Callithrix jacchus: one gene and its partners. Each later gene encodes a partner of the first gene's protein in a complex. Links are inferred from orthologs where the notes say so. Each region holds a gene or a part of one and is shown on either strand. Other genes may lie near its edges.

The links.
Region 2: the proteins of TIMP1 (region 1) and stromelysin-2 are in contact, whole or in part, in a crystal structure (PDB 3V96), measured with the Homo sapiens proteins. The link is inferred for Callithrix jacchus from reciprocal best matches to the Homo sapiens genes TIMP1 and MMP10. Residues at the interface, in NP_003245.1 of Homo sapiens: Cys24, Thr25, Cys26, Val27, Pro28, Asn37, Leu57, Tyr58, Pro87, Met89, Glu90, Ser91, Val92, Cys93, Arg98, Thr121, Cys122, Cys155, Leu156, Ser157, Ile158, Gln173, Leu174, Gly177, Ser178, Glu179, Lys180; in NP_002416.1 of Homo sapiens: Phe170, Tyr171, Gly177, His178, Ser179, Leu180, Ala181, His182, Ala183, Tyr184, Pro185, Tyr191, Asp205, Ala206, Ser207, Gly208, Val214, His217, Glu218, His221, Phe226, His227, Thr231, Tyr236, Pro237, Leu238, Tyr239, Asn240, Phe242, Thr243.
Region 3: the proteins of TIMP1 (region 1) and stromelysin-1 are in contact, whole or in part, in a crystal structure (PDB 1UEA), measured with the Homo sapiens proteins. The link is inferred for Callithrix jacchus from reciprocal best matches to the Homo sapiens genes TIMP1 and MMP3. Residues at the interface, in NP_003245.1 of Homo sapiens: Cys24, Thr25, Cys26, Val27, Pro28, Pro29, Val52, Thr56, Leu57, Tyr58, Pro87, Ala88, Met89, Glu90, Ser91, Val92, Cys93, Thr121, Cys122, Leu156, Ser157, Pro159, Gln173, Leu174, Gly177, Glu179; in NP_002413.1 of Homo sapiens: Phe100, Thr102, Phe103, Phe171, Tyr172, Gly178, Asn179, Val180, Leu181, Ala182, His183, Ala184, Tyr185, Ala186, Thr207, Thr208, Gly209, Thr210, Val215, His218, Glu219, His222, Phe227, His228, Tyr237, Pro238, Leu239, Tyr240, His241, Ser242.

The regions. Positions count from the first base shown.
Region 1 is NC_133524.1:48,547,407-48,551,539, reverse strand, and holds the start of TIMP1 (metalloproteinase inhibitor 1), read right to left. Parts: upstream 2,879-4,133; 5' UTR 2,840-2,878; intron 1,617-2,839; 5' UTR 1,609-1,616; coding exon 1,488-1,608; intron 195-1,487; coding exon 115-194; intron 1-114. UniProt on the Homo sapiens protein: Metalloproteinase inhibitor that functions by forming one to one complexes with target metalloproteinases, such as collagenases, and irreversibly inactivates them by binding to their catalytic zinc cofactor.
Region 2 is NC_133511.1:2,809,960-2,813,611, reverse strand, and holds part of stromelysin-2, read left to right. Parts: intron 1-1,874; coding exon 1,875-2,034; intron 2,035-3,032; coding exon 3,033-3,136; intron 3,137-3,652. UniProt on the Homo sapiens protein: Can degrade fibronectin, gelatins of type I, III, IV, and V; weakly collagens III, IV, and V. Activates procollagenase.
Region 3 is NC_133511.1:2,878,797-2,882,121, forward strand, and holds part of stromelysin-1, read right to left. Parts: intron 3,252-3,325; coding exon 3,087-3,251; intron 2,911-3,086; coding exon 2,766-2,910; intron 893-2,765; coding exon 759-892; intron 373-758; coding exon 213-372; intron 1-212. UniProt on the Homo sapiens protein: Metalloproteinase with a rather broad substrate specificity that can degrade fibronectin, laminin, gelatins of type I, III, IV, and V; collagens III, IV, X, and IX, and cartilage proteoglycans.

The DNA of each region.
Region 1 (4,133 bases):
ATATAGCATCCCGAGATCACAGCCAACTTTCTCGCACCAACCAGTGGCCAGAAGCTTCTGTTTTGACCAGGAGGAAGAGGTTAGAAAATGCTGGGAAAGGGGCAGGGGGAGTACCTTGGTCATCTTGATCTCATAACGCTGGTATAAGGTGGTCTGGTTGACTTCTGGTGCCCCCACGAACTTGGCCTTGATGACTGCAGGAGAGGAGGGAAATATGAGTCAAATGGACTGCATGAGCCAAAAAAATAAGATCATCATCTCATAATACCAGCAAAGTGTGTACATAAAGAGGGTTTATTGGATGCCAGACAGCACGCTAAGTGATTTACACACATTTGTTCATTGTTTCGTCTGTATGTTGAATGTCTCTCTTTGCCAGGCACTGCTTAAGCCATTTTCATATATTCATTTGTTCATTTACTCCACAAATATTTCGGAGTGCCCACTGTGTCCCAGACATTGTTCTGGGTGTTAGGGACACAGCAGTGAACAAAACACAGAGATCCCTTCCTTTGTGGAGTTCACATTCTAGCCAGGAGGAGACAGGCTAAGAACAAACAAAAGAAGTATATGGGAATGTTAGAAGATAGTAACGATAATGGGGAATTACACACCTGGGTAAGGGGATGACAAAGATTCTTTGCTTGACCAAACTTTACTCAGGCTCCTGAACCTTCTCCTAGGCCCATCTGTGCACTTCCTTGTAAAATTTAATTTTAGCAAACAGCCCTGGGATTAGTTTAGCAAGAACCCCTGTCCTCCATATCTGATCCTCCTCAGTCTCTGGTCATCCTTCTATCTGATCATCCTCAACGTCTGATCATCCTTGCTACCTGATCAGGTTCTTCATCTTCCACCATCCCCCAGGTGATGTGTGATTCTTCTGGCCTGCCTTCAGCAAGAATCCTGTTAGGTCGGTTTTGCCAGAATCCATTACCCCTGATGTTTCCTTTCAGTGATTTCCACCCACAGACCCTCACACTGGTCCTTGGCTGTACATTCCCACTGGCCCATGCTATATTCAGTGTTGAGCCCAATCTCTCCCCTCTGACTGCAAGATCCCATGGCAGTGGTTCCTATATCCATCACCATAGTCCTGAATATGGTCTTCCTTACTGTGTGCTATAATGAGTATCACTGAATATTTTTCTCTTTAACAGGAGATCAGGAGTACTAAGGGGCAGGGGTTAAAATTTTAAACAGGATGGCCAGGGAAGGCTATCCTGAGAAGGTGACGTTTGAGGCAGCCACCCATGTGGATACCTGGGGGGAAAGTGTACCAGGCAGAGGGAGCAGCCAGCAAGAAGGTCCTGTGGTAGGCTTGGGCCCGGAGTACACAAGGAAGTGTGAGGATGCCAGTGTGGCTAAAGCAGAGGAAGTGCAGGGGCAAGTGGAATCGATCCAGAGGTAAGTGACATTGTGAGCCCCACCAGACTGAGAGGGGAAACCAAGGCAGAGTGTGTGGGCTGAGTGGGATGAGAACTCACCAAGGTCAGAATTGCAGAAGGCCGTCTGTGGGTGGGGTTGGACACAGGTGCAGGCCCTGCTGGGGGCTATCAGCCACAGCAACAACAGGATGCCGGAAGCCAGGGGTGCAAAGGGGGCCATAGTTGGTTCTGCGGGAAAGGGGGATGTCAGGCAGGCCCCAGGCCAGCTGATCTGCAGACCTGGGCAGGTCATCCACCCCATCCCGCTCTGGGGCAACCTATGGAGGGGATTAGGGGACTGGATTTGGTCTTGAAGTGTTGGGGAATTTGGGGATTTTCAGGGGATTGGGGAGCCCAGAGGAATTTAGGATTTAGAGAGTTGGGAGAATTTAAGTTATTGAGGGACTGAGTGAGTTGCGGGATTATGGAGTTGTGGCACTTGGGGGAGGAGGGGGCTCAGGAATTTTGAGGAATGAGGGGATTGGGGAAGTCTGGAGGTTGAGGAGTTTGGGAGTGAGGAATTTGGGATTGGGGGGATGAATGAGTTTCGAGGAGGTGGAGAGCTTAGGGGTTGTGTATATTAAGAGATATGGGGGCTGGGGGATTTAGGGAGGTTAAGAATTTGGAGGAGGTTAGGGGTTTAGGGAGCTGGGGGAGTTTGGAGGTTGAAGGGGCTGGGGGAATTTGGGGGCTTAAAGCAATGGGGATACTTGAGGAATTTGAGGGCAAAAGAAGTTTGGGGCTGGGCGCAGTGGCTCACGCCTGTAATCCCAGCACTTTGGGAGGCCGAGGTGGGCAAATCATGAGGTTAGGAGATCGAGACCATCCTGGCTAACACGGTGAAATCCGGTCTCTACTAAAAATACAAAAAATCAGCCGGGCATGGTGGCAGGCGCCCGTAGTCCCAGCTACTCAGGAGACTGAGGCAGGAGAATCGCTTGAACCCAGGAGGTGGAGGAGGTTGCAGTGAGCCGAGATTCCGCCGCTGCACTCCAGCCTGAGTGACAGAGTGAGACTCCGTGTTTAAAAAAAAAAAATGGTTGGGAGTTTGGGAGCTGGGGGAGTTTAGGGAGCTGCAGGGATTTGCGATGGGGATTTAGGGGGCGATGAAGTTACGGGATGAAGGAGTTTGCGGCGGAGGTGGGAGATTTGGAAAGCATTTGTGATATTCAGGGGGGGGTCACGGGAGTTGGGGATGAATGTCAGGTGTTCTAGGGAGTTCGGAGCCTCGGGGCTGGGAAAGCGGTTTCAGCCTCGGACCCTCTTCCCCCTTGACTAGCCCAGGGTCCTGGTACCGGCAGGCCAAGCTGAGCAGACAGGCATTTGGCACTGGAGTGCACAGGCCTGGTGGCCAGCACCCAAGCTGCAAGCCAGCCCCAGTCCCTGCTGGGCCACCCTGGGGCCTTGCTTACCTCTGGTGTCTCTCTGGGTGCTGGATCTGCGGCGATGGCGGCAGGGCCTGAGCGCTAGAGGATAAATGTCCACGCTAGGGGCGGGGGTGGCAGCGGGTGCGGAAACCACAGGCCTCCAGGCTTCCTGGATGCATTACTCATCCACCCACCATCAGTGCAGAAGCCAAGGGGCGGGCCGGAGAAAGGAGATACACCCTCCTCCTCTCCCACCCTCCTCCTCTCCCTCCCCCTGGGCCTTGCCCAGGCCAGCCCCCTCCCCCATCTCCACGTCAGTCACTATTCCTTCCAAGCCGCCCCAGTGGAGAGCTTAGAGACAGCATTCACCCCAGCCTAGTCCCCTAGAGTCTCCAGAATCTATCCAATCACCCACATCCCCCAAGCTCCCTGTGGCTCAAACCCAAATTAGTTCAGTCCTTCAACATTTATTGTGCATCTACTGTGTGCCAAGCACACAAAAATCCCTTGTTTGGTATGTCTGACATGCTGGTGAGGGGTGGCAGAGAGGAAACAAGTTAAGTAGCAGGAATGGAGGGAGATAAAGCAGGTGAATGGGGAGGAATACAAAGTGGGGAAACTAAGGCACGGAGCAGTTAAGTGACTTATCCAGGATCAAAGAGTCAATACATGGCAGAACTGAGACTGGAACTCAGGTGGCCTAGAGCCAAAGCCAGGGTCTCAAAAAACACTGACAAATAGCTGGCATTTATATATCACCGACTGTATACTAAGCACTCAGTATAGTTTATCTCACTCAAAGATCACAACAAATCTCTGAGGTGGGTACCAGTTACTATTCCCATTTTACAGATGAGGAAATATGGGACGTAGAGGGACTGAAGACCTTTCCCAAGATCACAGGGTGTGGCCGGGATTCAAACTGAGGCTACCTGGTGCCAGGATTGTAACTCAGGAGTGGCACCATCCTAGCAGGCAGGGAATGGTGCGAGTGAATGAATAAGCATTGGGAAGGGGGTGGCTGTGAATGATGGTGGAAGAAGCAAGTGAGTGAGTCAGTAGAAAACCAATCCCCACCCCATGCTGCCCTGTGCCTTCCCCACGGACCTATGCCCTAGGTTGGGGTTAGGGTGGGGCAATCCTTGCCCACCAGCTTTTTGACAATGCAGAAATCTTCCCTGGGGTTCTGATGACCATCCTTAATTCGAGGAGGATAGATCCATCATAATAATGGTATTGATGATGGCAACCGCTTATTGAGCACTTTCTGTGTACTATGTGCTGACGTGTTTGTATAAATTATCTCATTCACTCACCATACTCCCTTGCTAATTAAGTT
Region 2 (3,652 bases), on another chromosome or scaffold:
CAAGACATTTTCATTTCAAATGCCGAAGGTTTTTTCATGTAACTTGACATATTAGTTTCACAATTTATACGGCAGAGCAAAGACCAAGAATAGCCAGGATACTCCTGGTGAACCCATCTTATTAGGTGAGGAAAAAAGCTCTATGTAATAAAGCTTTAAAAGGTAAGATGTGGTATCAGTGCAGGGAGCAATAAATTAACCAATAGAGCTATTCGGGTATGGCAGCTTCTTTATCAGATTTTTAAACTACTTTTTCCGTTTGTTTTACTGGCAATATGTTATTTGCATTTCTATTACTTCTTGAGTCAGTTTCATTAACATGTTTTTCTAAAAATGTGCCAGTTTTGCCTGTTTTCAAATCAATCAGCATGAAGTTTTTTGAAAATTATTTTGTTGTAATTTGAATTATTGCTGTAATTCCTAATATTGAATCCTTTTGCCTTTCTCTTTTGTTCTTCATCAATCTCACAATATGCATAAAAATTTTAGTGACCTTTTCAAAGGACTGACTTTTGGCTTTATTTATTCTCTATATTATATTTTGATTTCTGTTCATATCCTTATGTTGCCTTAATGTTTGCTTACTTTGAATTAACCCTATTATTATTTTTATAGCTTGTTTGATACTTACTTCATTAACTTGTAACCTTTTTCCTTTTCTAATATAAGCATTTATACCTACAAATAACAATTTCTTCTTTTTATCCAGCAAATTTTGATATGCAGTATTTTCATTTTATTCACTTTTAATTTTTCAATATCCCATTTTAATTTTTTCCCTGGGCTCATAGGTGATATTGGAATATTTTTAAATGTCAAGCTGTATGGAGATTTTTTAAATATTTATTTCTGACAATGTCACTTTTGTGAAGATTAAATGAATGTGAAATTGCAGCAGGAATTGTAAAGGATTGCATAACTCAAAAGTATTGTTATCCAGTAATTTATCCATATTTATTTACCACTTGCGGTGTCAGACACCACACTCATTAGTGGAGGTCACTGAAGAGGGTTTATGTTCTAGAAGGGGCAGCAGAGATGAAACCATAGGCAGCCTACGTATGACAAGTGCTAGGATAGAGAGAAGGAAAGGTGCCGTGGGAGCACCTGAGTCATACCCAGGGCTCAGCAAAGATCCCTCAGAGGAGGAGATGTTTAGGATGGGTCTTGAAGTTCTCTCTTGCTGTGCAGAGACGGGCTGGGTGTATAGAAAGTATAAAGGTCTTTAAGAAAGAAGAAATTGTTTTTACCACATAAGAGCATACCTGGAACTGCTCAGATGATACAAAGCAAGAGAGATGAACAACAGATGGACATTTTAGATTAGCGAATCTGGCAGTCGTGTGAACAAGAGATTCAGGCTCGGGATCGAGGAGAATGATGTCACAAAGTAAAGGGAGAGAGATGGATGGGATTTTATTCTAACTCGCTGGAATATGAATGAATCCTGATAATATTCAGAAGCACAGGTTGGAATTGGTGGCTATGATATCTAAAAGGAAGTGTCCAATAAGCAACTGATCTATTGGTATGGAACTTGAGAGAGAGAGAGAGAGGTCTAGGTGAGAAATTCAGGTTAAAAAGTCATCAGCAAATTATAAGAAATAATCAAAACTGGCCTATACATAAACTATAACTTACAGATACAAATATATAAGCCACAGAAAGGGCAGTTAATCAGAGTTATCTACTGATTTATTCATTCTTTCATTCACTCACTCATTTAGGGAATATTTGTTAAAGACTGGCTGTGAACTGAGCATTATTAGGTTGGAATTAAAAACAAGACATCCTCTTTACCACAAAAATGCTCTAGAATCATTTTTAAAATCAATGGCTTCATGTAAAATTTCTTGGGTTTATTTTTTCAACAGGAAATGAGCTCTGGGCCATCAGAGGAAATGAGGTTCAAGCAGGTTATCCAAGAGGCATCCACACCCTGGGTTTTCCTCCAGCCGTAAAGAAAATCGACGCAGCTGTTTCTGATAAGGAAAAGAAGAAAACGTACTTCTTCGTAGAGGAGAAATATTGGAGGTGAGATGCAAGAGAAAGGACTTTGTTCGAAGTCTGATTAAGAAAATTGGCCGGGCGCGGTGGCTCACGCCTGTAATCCCAGCACTTTGGGAGGCCGAGGTGGGTGGATCACGAGGTCAAGAGATCGAGACCATCCTGGTCAACATGGTGAAACCCCGTCTCTATTAAAAACACAAAAAATTAGCTGGGCATGGTGGCGCGTGCCTGTAATCCCAGCTACTCTGGAGGCTGAGGCGGGAGAATTGCCTGAACCCAGGGGGCGGAGGTTGCGGTGAGCCGAGATCGCGCCATTGCACTCCAGCCTGGGTAACAAGAGCGAAACTCTGTCTCAAAAAAAAAAAAAAGAAAAAGAAAATTATTTTAAGGATATCCCCCTACTCCCACCCTCTTTCTCTAACTTCAAAAGTTATGATTATGCAGAAGATAGCTTATTGTTGTTCTACTTCCCGGCTACGAATGGCCCTCAGAGTGCTGATCACTGAGCCGTTTACTCACACATCAAAAGCCACCAGGAAAGGCTAGCTGAGGTCCGGAGGCATTTGTGCCAGTCACCATGTGGCTGTCATAGGGCGCCCAGGTACGGCAAGCTTTGGAGACAAGGTCTACAGGGTCCTAGTGTGACTGAAAGCCAGAGGTTTATTTTTATCTAAATGATTTAATTAATTTCGCATATTATGTGAACACAGTCTTTATGTATTTGCGGTAGACACATAGAAATTTGGGTTCTGTGTGTCCAGGCTTAGAAAATTTACCTTAGACATATGAACTTCTGTAAAATGTCATATTCCTGTTTCTGGGAAAATGTTGTTTTATGTGTTAAACTTGTAAGTCCAGGGAAGTAACCTATTCTTGCAGCTCTATAAAGTGTTTAACACCTTTTTATACAACTTAAAAAGTTTGTCTATGACTCCACACTGGAAAATTAATATCACATTATACTATTGTGTGTAACGGTACTACTATACAACATCGAACTGTATTTCTTTCATCTTATTTAGATTTGATGAAAATAGCCAGTCCATGGAGCAAGGCTTCCCTAGACTAACAGCTGATGACTTTCCAGGTGTTAAGCCTAAGGTTGATGCTGTATTCCAGGCATTTGGTAAGAAGACCCTCATTTCATTGTCAACAGGGAAATCTCCAGGCATTTTTATCATTTCAAAATGAAGTACAGAATCAAAACGGTTTTTAAATCATTCAGTCTGATATCTTTTTTACTCCAAATTTCTGATAATCCTCACTTTCCAACTTATGCAAAGTAGATTAAAAATTTTTTTTTCCTGAATAACTTCCAAGTCTCTGTTTCATGGCTGCACATAAAATCAAAGGATACTCCTTCACACAGAAGCCATTATCTCTCAGGTCACTAGGTTTGTATAAAAATGCAATCCGTGTGAGCCAGGCTAATGGCTGGTTGTCATTCTATTCTATCCCATCCTGTTATCCCGCCCCAGGGGAGCCTTGTCAGGGCTTCTGTTGCAGTCTGCAATTGTCTACATTAGTCATTTGTAAATAAAATAGTTGTCCTCCCCTATGCTCAAAATAGGTAAAATGTAATTCCTGGTAATGGGGAAATAGGAAAGCAGAACTCGTGTGTGATTACTCTGAAGGAATTTTG
Region 3 (3,325 bases), on another chromosome or scaffold:
AGGGAAGCACCAGCAACTGCACTTGGGACTCAGAGCAGGAGAGCTTATAGGGCTTCTGTGTTTTAAAGTAAGAACTTTCCCACAGTTGTCTGAAGTCCCATCCTTCCTACTGAGAGAGAAGCAGGCCTAAGGTTGGGGTGGGGGATTTCCTTAGAAAAAAAAATAATTTCCCTAATTAGGCTTCATACAAAGTCATTTCTCTTGCATCTCACCTCCAGTATTTGTCCTCTACAAAGAAGTAGGTTTTCTTCTTTTCCTTATCAGAAATGGCTGCATCAATTTTCCTTACTGTTGGAGGGAAACCCAGGGTGTGGATGCCTCTTGGGTATCCAGCTTGAACCTCATTTCCTCTGATGGCCCAGAACTGATTTCCTGTTAAATATCAATAATTCAGGGTCATATCGAATTATAACAGTTAAGCCTTTTAGCTTTAGAAATACGCTATAGCATCTTTGATTATCATGGTGAAGAAGTAGCCCAAATTTTAGATTTAGTCACCAGCTCATAGCAGGCTTTTAGCAAAAATTTGCAGACTGAATGAATGAACCGAGGTCAAATGAGAACATTTACAACTCTGGGTAGTTGATCTTCCTTTCTTGTTTTTATAAAATGTAAGTACAATAGTATCAGCCCTGGTTATCACTTCATTACCTGTGACTGCTGTACTAACCAGAACCCGATGCAGTAGAGAAAAGTAAAGTGTTGTTCAGTTTCTTGCTTATTCTGGCAAGTTAAAGAAATGACGATAGAATAATTACCTTTAAAAATGAAAACAAGATCCTTGCTGGTAACTTCATATGCGGCATCCAGGCCCGAAGGAAGAGACGGCCAAAACGACGAGATCAAATGCAATTCAGGTTCAAGCTTCCTGAGGGATTTGCGCCAAAAGTGTCTAAAACATATGTAAAAAGGAATGTAAATGGAAATACCGCCTTTTACCTTTAGAATATTTTCCTCACCGTCTTGCCTCACCCGACTTCCCCCATTTTCTCATCTTCTAGGCTGGATGACAGATAGAAATCAGGTATATTGCCATTAGAAAATTTCTTTCCTTTTTCTTTAGAAGACTGCAGTGAGTCTCCTGTCATAGGTTCCAGAGAAATGTCTTCTATGAAAGAAAGGTTGTTCTTCATGCAAATGAATTATCCCAGGATGAGCTTAACTACCTGCAATGTGTGCCAAACAGTATATATGCTGTTCAAAAAGCTAGGCAGTGTGTATGTATGCACACGTGCTGTATACCCTCTTCAATAAGGGGCAGTGTGTATGTATGCATACGTGCTGTATACCCTCTTCAATAAGGGGCAGTGTGTATGTATGCATACGTGCTGTATACCCTCTTCAATAAGGGGCAGTGTGTATGTATGCATACGTGCTGTATACCCTCTTCAATAAGCTATGCAGTGTGCATGTATGCATACGTGCTGTATACCCTCTTCAATAAGCTATGCAGTGTGCATGTATGCACACGTGCTGTATACCCTCTTCAATAAGCTATGCAGTGTGCATGTATGCACACGTGCTGTATACCCTCTTCAATAAGGGGCAGTGTGTATGTATGCATACGTGCTGTATACCCTCTTCAATAAGGGGCAGTGTGTATGTATGCATACGTGCTGTATACCCTCTTCAATAAGCTACGCAGTGTGTATGTATGCACACGTGCTGTATACCCTCTTCTATAAGGGGCAGTGTGTATGTATGCGTACGTGCTGTATACCCTCTTCAATAAGCTAGGCAGTGTGCATGTATGCATACGTGCTGTATACCCTCTTCTATAAGGGGCAGTGTGTATGTATGAGTACGTGCTGTATACCCTCTTCAATAAGCTAGGCAGTGTGCATGTATGCACACGTGCTGTATACCCTCTTCTATAAGGGGCAGTGTGTATGTATGAGTACGTGCTGTATACCCTCTTCAATAAGCTAGGCAGTGTGCATGTATGCACACGTGCTGTATACCCTCTTCAATAGGTGGCAGTGTGTATGTATGCGTACGTGCTGTATACCCTCTTCAATAAGCTAGGCAATGTGCATGTATGCATGCGTGCTGTATACCCTCTTCAATAAGGGGCAGTGTGTATGTATGCATACGTGCTGTATACCCTCTTCAATAGGTGGCAGTGTGTATATGTATGCATGCGTGCTGTATACCCTCTTCAAAAGGGGGCAGTGTGTATGTATGCGTACGTGCTGTATACCCTCTTCAATAAGCTAGGCAATGTGCATGTATGCACACGTGCTGTATACCCTCTTCAATAGGTGGCAGTGTGTATGTATGCGTACGTGCTGTATAAATGCGTTCTTATATATGCAGAGAATGGTTCTGGAGGGATGCACAAAAAGTCTTGACTGTGGGTGAATGCAGGGAGAACCAGGAACTAAAATTGTTAGTTTTCTTCTGGTTCGTGCTGTTTGAATGTTTGTCATGTGCGTATTGACTCATCAGTAAGTAAATTAATTGATTAAATGTAATGTTGATCCTCATGTCATTTTTGAAGGAAGTAAAAACAAAATTATTATTCTAAATATCTACTCCTGCCTTTTGAAAAGCAACCGTGGCTTAAAGCATTTGGAAATAGCAATTAGGAGACAAGAACCAGATCATCCTGAGCCTTCAAAAATGAACCTGACAGTTTCAGGAAAACGTGGGAAAAGGCAGTACCGTATCTAAATGATTTCAAGCTCAGACGTTTCTGTTTGTTTTCCTTTCCAAGCTTTGTAGAGTAAAATGATAGAGAGGAAAATGTGAGTTTTCAGTCTGACCTGTCTTTAAAGAATAGGATTTCTCCTCTCAGAGTGCTGATGGCATCGAAGGACAAAGCAGGATCGCATGTGGCTGGTGCCTCAGTTTCTGGAGGGACAGTCTCCTTGGGCACCGGAGGTTTCTCAGGGGAACCAGGGTGAGGTCCTAAGGGGAACATCAGGAGAAATGTGATACGTTTCAATATATGCCAATTTGTATGCTTTCCAGACATTCTCAAAGTGCTTTACGCTAAACCATCAATACTTTCTGTAGCATTTGAAAGCTTTTCTAAAGACCATCATTGCAAAGCTACAATGGCTAATTTTCCCAGCGTCACTTACCGTAGAGGGACTGAATGCCGTTCACATCATCTTGAGACAGGTGGAACCGAGTCAGGTCTGTGAGCGGGTTGTAGACCGGGTACATCAAAGCTTCAGTGTTGTCTGAGTGAAAGAGACCCAGGGTGTGGCCAAGTTCATGAGCAGCAACAAGGAATAAATTGGTCCCTATTTAAGAAATCAGAAACAATAGTCACTTATTTTTTAAATACGTGTACATTATACAGGTCTGCTGTGCATCA